2 linked regions of the Bombyx mori genome follow. The protein of the gene in region 1 binds, or shares a complex with, the protein of each later gene. Links are inferred from orthologs where the notes say so. Each region holds a gene or a part of one and is shown on either strand. Other genes may lie near its edges.

Region 1 (5,111 bases):
GTGATATATCAAAATAAATTCGTTGGTTCGTATTTACAACTCTACTCAGAATGTTTAGTGGTTTCCTATAATACCGTATGTCCCAAACAAACAGTCTGTGATCTTTTCTTGCACCAGAAACAAGCTTCAAAGTACCAGGAATGAATTTCATGTGCGTTACTCCACCTGAAGCAATAGAAAAAATCAAAACATTTCGCAAAGCCAAATGAATATTCATGAATATGCTAAATGATTATGAATGCACTTAAAGGATTTAAGGTTTCTGATAAAAATATATACTTGTTGTGCTATATATTATTATATAACTTAGTCTGGCCATAAATACTGTTACATAAAAACTTTTCTTTTTTTTCAACTTTTTAATTATTTTGTATTTGGAACATGTATATTATTTTAAAAACTTCTTTCGATTTTGCGCCATTTCAGATATTTTTTCGTGTTCATTATCAAATGACAAAGGAATGTGGTGTTAAGGAAAATAGGATTGCAGTGATCGCCTTGCGCAAAGTGGGTATTGAGCCGTCGGTCATATTCCAGACACTTCAAATGCTAGGTATCAGCCATTATGTTGGTACATCGAACTATCAACAGATAAAACAACACTTCGTCTGTCGAAGACCAGAAAAGATCGGTGCAGCCGCGTCCTGTTACAACTACAAAGGCTTAATGCTGTTAAAGCCAGAATCCGTCGAATTAGGCAGCAAAATATCTTATAGCGAGAAATGAAGATTCCCGATAGGACTCTGTCGCGTATTATAAAACAAGACCTGAAGCTCGCAGGATATACCCTAAATCAATCTTTATAATTAAAGTGATTGGATAAATGAAAATGCCTTTTGATGCGATATGCAGGTGAAAGGCACAGAAATATTCTCTTTACTGATGAAAAAAATTTCACTATTGAAGAACACTGCAATAAACAAAATGATAAAGTGTACACTCACAGTTCTAAAGAAGCTGCTGAAATGGTAGGAAAGGTACAAAGTGGTCATCATCCTGCATCAGTGATGGTTTGGTGGGGCGTGTCTTATCAAGGAATCACAAGCTATATTTTTGTGAAAAAGAAAGTGAAAACTTCAGTCAATGTGTATCATTGTCCATGTATCCATGTCTTGGATTATGCTGTAAAACCTCTCAGCAATACACTTTTTAAAAATATACTGTGGACTGGCCCGCATGTCTCTGCACCTGGTCACAAGGCAGGAACTACCCAAGCCTGGCTTGAAACCAATGTTCCAGACTTTGTAAGAGCTGAAGTCCAGCCTCACCGAGCCCAGACCTCAACCATTAGACTTGAAATTATGGTCAGTTTTAGAGAACATGGCCTGCTCTAAGCGATACAGCGACATTGAGTCTTAAAAAACCTTTGGAGCAAGCAGTGAAATTTCCCTTGGAAACAGTGCGCAAATTCATAGTTTCATGGCCAAACAGATTAAAGGCCTGTATAAAAGCCAAAGGTGGCCATTTCAAGTAGAATATTTTTCTTTATTTTTTGCTGACTTCATTTCTTTTTACTTCATTAAAAAAAAAACATTTTCATTTGAAACAGAACTTATGGCTGGATTAGGTATATATAGGTATTGGGTATATATATAACAATATGTAACAAACGTTACACCAATTATTCAGTGCTATTTACCTCCATGTCCATACATGTCCCCAATTTTCTTAGTACCAATTTCTGATTCATTATACAAAGTTATTGTTGTATTCCAAGAACCAACAGCAACTAAGTTATTTTGTGTTGAAATGCTAGATGCTGAACTAGAAATCTTTTGCTCAGTAAATTCTCTGCCAGGCCTAAAAAATTTACTGATTAATATACAAGCAAATAAAATAGACCTAGAACTCAGGCAGGATTGCAACAATTATGTTGTTGAAGTCTATGAGCTCTAGTAATCACTTAAAACCTAGTTGTATACCAATCAAAGAAATAAAAAAATTGTCTATCTTGAGCACATTACTAACTTAATGAGTATATTAAAAGATTTTACTTCCATACAACAAATTCTCTTTATATTAGTATAGATACGATAAAAGCTTCCTGCCTTGATATAAAGTAGTTATTAGCAAGTCTAAGCTTTGCTTAAATACCCACACTGAGCATGAAATTAAAGTTTTAAGATAAATTTGATAATGAAGAATTACCGCTCAACATCAAAAATTCTTAAATGCTTCTTATAGCCAGCAATGATTTTTCTACCATCTGAGGTAAAGCTAACTGATAAAGCTGGTTCCATTTCATCTACTGCATTGAATCCTCTGTATGAACATCTGAGTGATCCATCAAATGCATCCCACATTTGTATGGGAGAATTTTGTTTTGTTGTTAACCAGCTGTCAATAAAATTATTGAGTTACATGAAAGTTAGGCATTTCTTAAGAAATCTATTTCAGCTCCTTATTTTAAAGGAAGAGAAATTATGTTTACTGACAAACTAAAATTGATATTTTATCATAATCTCAGCCTGTCCACTGCTGAACATAGGCCTCTCCTACTGATGTCCACTATGTCATCAGCCCATCTGGTACACGGCACACTGCACTTGACAGTACGTGGTCTCCATTTAAGGATTTTTCTGCCCCATCGGCTGTCAATCTTCGTACTATATGGCATTCCCACTGCCGCTTCAGCTTGCTAATCCTAGGGCTATGTAACAAGTTTGGCTCTTCTATGGATCTCCTCATTTCTGATTCGATCTCATAAAGAAATACCAAACATAGCCCTCTCTATAGGTTGCTGTGTGACACTAAGCTTCTTAAAAAGTTCCCTTGTGAAACACCATATCTCAGAACCGTACGTCATCACTGGTAAAACACATTGGTTGTACACCTTTGTCATAAGGCACTGAGCATTTTTTTAATTTTTAGATTGGTTGATATTTAAGTAACGATATTTTATATTTACATCAATTCCATTGTAGACCAAATATTGAGTTTTAAATCTCACTCACCAACAGGAAGGGGGATTTGTGCTGTTCATGAATGGGTACCAACAGAAGTCGTAAACTGAACCTGTTTCTTTTAAATGTATCACTGATTCTAAGACATCGATTATACGATCGCCACAAACAACGCCCTGGTACAATTCACTAGGAAGCTCGGTAACATGAACACCATCGTTATTGACAACACTTAAGCAACAGGTTCCATCTGGGGACCACTTACATCCACGTAAATAAGGCTGTATATTCTCATTAGCATTACGACCCCTTGACCACGAGCAAGTGGACAATTCAAGAAAGCTTTTGCTTGTAAATAATGCTGGATATTGAAAAGCGTTTTCTGTACACGCCGAACCCAATGTAAGTTCACTCGGATTTTGAGTTATGGTTTGAGGTATATTTTCAGCGTTTATTCTTGATGGTGTCTCCATTGACCAATTTTCCATAATAAAGGTAGATCACAACACAATTTGTGATTATGTATAACAAATTGACAATTATTCCGCTCACGGTTTCAAAATAAAAACAAAATCGTCGTTCGTCAATCGACCTTACCGCCTTACTTTTTTTTAAGGGATTTTATGACCTGGTAACTAAGATCTTTAGGTCATGTCTTATATTAATTTATAATATTCTTATTTTTATGAAAAATGATAATTATATGGAGTGAAATGAAATGAAATGAGATGATATGGGATGAAATATAATCTCGAGATCGGGAATGATCAATCACAAGAACGGTCGTACATACATAACAACATAATTTTTTTTTGGGGCCGGGGGCTGAACCTCCCATGAGGTTCCCCCGCCTAGGGGGCACGCAGGGTATATGAGACTTGACGATCTGCAGATGTTGGAAGCAGACCGTAGGTCCAAAATTATTTAAGGACCCTACCGCACTAAACGACTCCCCTGCCCCTTATACGGTTGCTCTTCCACAGTATGTTCGACGACGACAGCGACGACGGCAATGCGGACCGCATCGCGGACCGCTTCCGAAGATGCGTCGTCACATGCCAGCACGCTACAGTGACAATAGCGTGTGGCGCAACCTCGACTACCTCAGGTCGCCCCGTGAACATCACCGGGAGGAGACTGCTTCTTCACAGGGGTTGGAGCTGGACGAACACCCTCCTCCAATTCCCGGCTCGGTGGCGGTGGCCCGGCGCCGAGAGGAAAGAAGAGCTCTCTCTCCCCGTTCCGCCGCCTCCTTCTGCATGATGGTGGACTCACAGAAGTCGAGCATCGCCTGCCAGGGCTCGTCGCTGCCGCACATAGTCCGGACCTATTTTTGCAACGAGGGTGCGGCGCTGCTTCGCGAAAGCGGGGCAGTATGCGAACGTGTGCTCCGCCGTGACACCACAACTATACATTAACCCACAGACACAACCCTTGAGTTTCTCACCGGATCTTATCAGTAGGTCGCGATTCTGATCCGGCAATAAATTCAATAAAGCACTACTCTTGCTACAGTAGATGTTAGCAAAGTCTCTCAGGCAGGTTAGCACGGAGATTTTATTATATGTTTTATGTATTTAAATTCAGATCTCACACAACTAAAGGCGCTGTGGCGTGGCTTGTTTTATTTTAAAATATCATCAAAATTCACTCAATGGTTGTACACGTCACGCTTCAATTAATTCAAAATAAATTAACTGAAATGCAGTCAAAAAAGTTACTTTGGAAAGTATATTATCTCGCAATTTTTATTATCTTCGTTCAAGGACGGTAGGTATAACCTTTATTCATTATTGATCAAATTAGTACATTGATGAAAGTGAAATATATTTTTATAAAGTATTTTCAGTGATTACTCGTACAGTAAACATATGAAAAATAGTTCTAATCTTTTGATAATATAAGTTTAAAAACTTTAAGAACATTTTTAAGTAATTAAAACTACTGTTAAGGTATAATCTCGCGGTTTTTATTGTCATCATCAAGATCGTAATCAAGAAAACATCATCATTAAAATATCGTCAGTGACCATGAAAACTGTAAAGTATTCAAAAATTAAATGTCGTATATTTAATGTCAGTAAAAAACGTGAGATTACATCGTAAAAGTAATTTTAATTGTGTCTATAAATAGCGGAAACGAACAAAAATACTTACTTTTATGTGATAAAGTTCGCAATAAAATAAAACCTAAATATCGCAGGGATTC
Region 2 (4,019 bases), on another chromosome or scaffold:
TACTTGGATAGCTTTGTCATTACTACACCTATTTTCAAGTGGCTGGACATCTGGAAATATGAAATAATGTTAGCAATTTCCAACAAACGTATAGTTTGTAAATATATAGGATTATATGTGTACTGTCGTAGTAGTAGTAGTAGTATTTAACTTCCTAGTCATCATCATCAGCCCATATAATATATCCCCTTGCTGGACACTGGCCTTCACTACCATTGAGAGGGTTTTTAGGCCTTAGTCCACCACGCTGGCCTAGTGCTGGTTGGTGGATTACACACCTAAGAAAATCCTAAGAACATTTAGGTGTGCAGGTTTCATCACAATGTTTTCCTTCACTGTTAAAGTAAGTAAGTGATATTACACTGTGATAAATTTTCATTTTCACAAACTTCCTAGTACCTTATGTAATAGGAACTGAGATCCACTTGCCCATTTTGGCTACTTCCACTAACTAACTAACTATTCTCATTTTTTCTGATATTGTTATTTGATTAGGAGATCTGTGAGTGTAACTAATTATTGACAGTTACACCTACCTTGACTACAAGATGGCAAAGGTATAATAATACGACACATCTCATTTTTAGTCGTCTCTTCAATTTCCTTGATAATAGTGAGTCTTTGCCGTTTCACAAATGCAGGCCGAGGTTCACTATGAGTGAATTTTCGTTTTCTATCTGCCCGACAATCGAATTTGGATGGTAAACAGTTTGGTTTCATTCGAATTCATTTAATGGAGCTCATTATCTTGTATTGCATATAATTCTCCATGTAGTTTTCCAGCTAAAACATGAAATAATTTTCCAACAATTTCAATACATAACCTATAAAAAAAATATTAAAATGTTATATTACTAATGTTAGGAATATAATTTCGACTGTGTCAAAATGTTATTATAATGTATACCTACATTATCTCTTGAAAGATAAATAATAAACATATTTACTTATTTGTTTATATTACCTATGTGAACTCTTAACCTATCTTTTTTATATCTTCATAGCGATAGGTATATAGGAGGATGGAAAAAATGTATTTGGTCTAACTTTACGCGAATGCACATTATTTTATTTATTTATTTTTTAATTTTTTTAATTAAACTGTATACCAATTAATCGATCCTTCAGGATTTATAATTGTTTTTTTTTTCACGATTAAAACCGCGTAGAAAGTTTAGGCATTATAGTTGACGCATGCGCCATAGATTATACACTTATGGCATGCGCAGTACACATATTTTGTATACATTTATTCAACTAATACAATTAATTAAACAAAAAATGAGTAATTTCGAAAGAGAACAAACGTATTTTATATAAGAACAATCGAAAATGAATATTTACGAGTAATTAAGGACGAAAAAATTTTAAAAATTGCAATCGAGGGGCTAACTTTTAGATATATTTTTAATATATTTTTTAAAATAAATAAATGGGGAACAAACAATTATTAACAATGAACAATCAAGAACAAATGATGAACAAACGAATTAATAGAAAATAAGTAGAAAACAGGAAAAAAAATTTTTTTTGAGGGGCTAACTTCATTCACCCTGATTTTATGGTAAATTATGGTCAATTGTCCTACTCTGTGGTTTAAACATAGATTATACATTTGTCATTTATATAAACTCAAAGACACAAAAACATAGATTCCACCGGTCACCGTTCTCGTCGAACCCGTCGCTTGCGACGAAGGGCTCGACGAGTAAATTAACTCTCAGACACAGCCCACTGAGTTTCTCGCCGGATCTTCTCAGTGGGTCGCGTTTCCGATCCGGTGGTAGATTCTGCGAAGCACGACTCTTGCTAGGGTTCGTGTTAGCAACATCGTCAGGTTTGAGCCCCGTGAGCTCACCTACTAAAGTTAAGGCTACGCTGAAATAGCCGCTAGGGCTATCAGCTTAGGTAGGGAAAAAAAAAAAAAAAAAAAACATAGATTATACACTTAATATATTTGAGACACAAAAACACTGAACAGTAAACACGAGGAATTACTGGATTACCACATACAAATAAAATAGCGCTAAATTAGTTGTAGTTTTTGTTATTTGCATTTTTAATAACATTAAAATGTATCTCAGGTATTACTTAAACGATAAAGGCGATAGAGAGTACACATTAGCGGTAAGTATTGTACTGTAACCTCGTCAACATGTGTTTAATTATTCTATCAATAATCTTTTTACTTTCTCAGACCATCGACCCATTTGGAAAACCAACATTGTCAGCACATCCAGGTAAATAACATCATCAAGTATGGTTTATTAGTGATTAATCGTTGTTTTCAAAAGTTAGAAGGTTATGTATGTTTTCCTAATAGGTAATGCATAACAGTGTTTTATAGTGGAAATAAGCTGTAAATGCTTGAGATATATTTAATCTAGTTAATATAGAAGACTAAGACAATAATATGGTTTATGAACTAAAAACAATTTGCTTCAATTATCTTTTATCCTGTACTGGTATTTATTAGGCCAAAGTAATAAAATTATTGACTGCTTTTAATATAATGTCATTTTTGTCAACCATCGAAACTGATTGTTTACGTTGGATAACAACCACCTTGACAAGCCTTGAAAGGTTTTCGGCCAAAAATCATCCTCTTATCCTAAAAAATCATGTTAGACGTTATCCCTGAATCTCACAATCTTATCATGTATTAATTATTGAAGATGGTGAAAATTACAATTGGAGATTCCATCTGATATATGCTAATGAAATCAAATTTAAAAAAAAGCAAAAAACAATCTCACATCTACAAAATAACAGGCTAATTTACTTCAATAATCCAATTGTTTTTATTGCAGCTCGTTTTTCTCCTGAAGACAAATACTCAAGACACAGAATAATAATCAAGAAGAGATTTGGCCTGCTGCTTACACAACAACCTGAACCTATTCATTAAAATAAATATTGATTTGTATTGAAAATTACCAAAATGGTCTAAATTTTGATACATTTTAACAATTCTTTTCAAAATCTAAGGCACACAGGATTTAGCATACAACAGAACACAAATGGTCTTACAAAATATATTACTTTATTATGACTTGCTCTTCCTTTTTCTAATGATTTTCATCTGATTGTGGTAATCCTAGGCTACCCCACTGGTACATAGGGCCCTTACAAGTTTTCTCCATTTGACCTTGCTCCTTGACATCATTCCAAGTCATGGTGGCAGTACTCATCTCACTCTCCACAGTGTGTCGAGAAGTATGTAAAGGATAACCAGGCTATAAATTTAATATAATTTATTTTTTATTACAATATCTCTTCTTATGATTATGTAAAATGAATGCAGTTTCAAAATATATGTTGTAATATAGTCGTAATGTTATGTGTGCTTTTATTATTTATAGCTACTATAAAGCAAGTCTTGATAGTTCCGTATATACACCAATTTCCTTCATGGACAATCGAGCCATGACTGATAAATGGGCTCTAACCTGGAGAGTATTAGCATGTGTTACAGTATCTGCCTCAGATAAAAATGGCCATGGCTGTGCCAGGAAATTTTATACAGTGAATATACTCAATCTGAAAAAATATATCTTGGTTACTAAAAAGTGATTATGTAGGCAGTATTTCTGAAGTTTATCTCTAGCTAAACATCCAGTAAACCATCTGCTAAATATGTTCACAAGAACACAGCAATGTGCCACAACTCCCTTTAGTATTTGGACAAGTTGAATAAAGTGTAGTGTCTAATAATGGCATTACAATTAATTTTAGTAGATTTCCTTGATGATAGAGTTTGACTTCTGAGGCTATCCACGGATTTAGTTACCCTTTGATGTGTGCATTTTTTATATGATTGAAGGATTACTGGTGCCCTGTAGGCCTTTCCAGTTTCACCAGGGCAGGGCATATGAGAACTGCTAGTCAGTCAGACCTTCAAAGAGATACCTAATAATCAGATGACATAACATCTGGAGTATATGGCGGGTAGGGTATGGCATCTCATCTGAATGTTTTCAAGTATTTTAACGGTTTTCGCAAGGTATGCCCGAGCATCA

What was found. Proteins that work in one complex are often made in the same cells at the same time.
Region 2: telomerase Cajal body protein 1 homolog (region 1) and H/ACA ribonucleoprotein complex subunit 3 share a complex: the UniProt entries of both Homo sapiens proteins name them as parts of the telomerase holoenzyme complex. The link is inferred for Bombyx mori from reciprocal best matches to the Homo sapiens genes WRAP53 and NOP10.

Annotation. Positions count from the first base shown.
Region 1 is NC_085124.1:10,449,994-10,455,104, reverse strand, and holds the start of telomerase Cajal body protein 1 homolog, read right to left. Parts: upstream 3,529-5,111; 5' UTR 3,392-3,528; coding exon 2,955-3,391; intron 2,338-2,954; coding exon 2,149-2,337; intron 1,801-2,148; coding exon 1,640-1,800; intron 166-1,639; coding exon 1-165. UniProt on the Homo sapiens protein: RNA chaperone that plays a key role in telomere maintenance and RNA localization to Cajal bodies. Specifically recognizes and binds the Cajal body box (CAB box) present in both small Cajal body RNAs (scaRNAs) and telomerase RNA template component (TERC).
Region 2 is NC_085131.1:8,622,625-8,626,643, forward strand, and holds H/ACA ribonucleoprotein complex subunit 3, read left to right. Parts: upstream 1-1,940; 5' UTR 1,941-2,073; coding exon 2,074-2,127; intron 2,128-2,197; coding exon 2,198-2,240; intron 2,241-2,810; coding exon 2,811-2,908; 3' UTR 2,909-3,340; downstream 3,341-4,019. UniProt on the Homo sapiens protein: Required for ribosome biogenesis and telomere maintenance. Part of the H/ACA small nucleolar ribonucleoprotein (H/ACA snoRNP) complex, which catalyzes pseudouridylation of rRNA.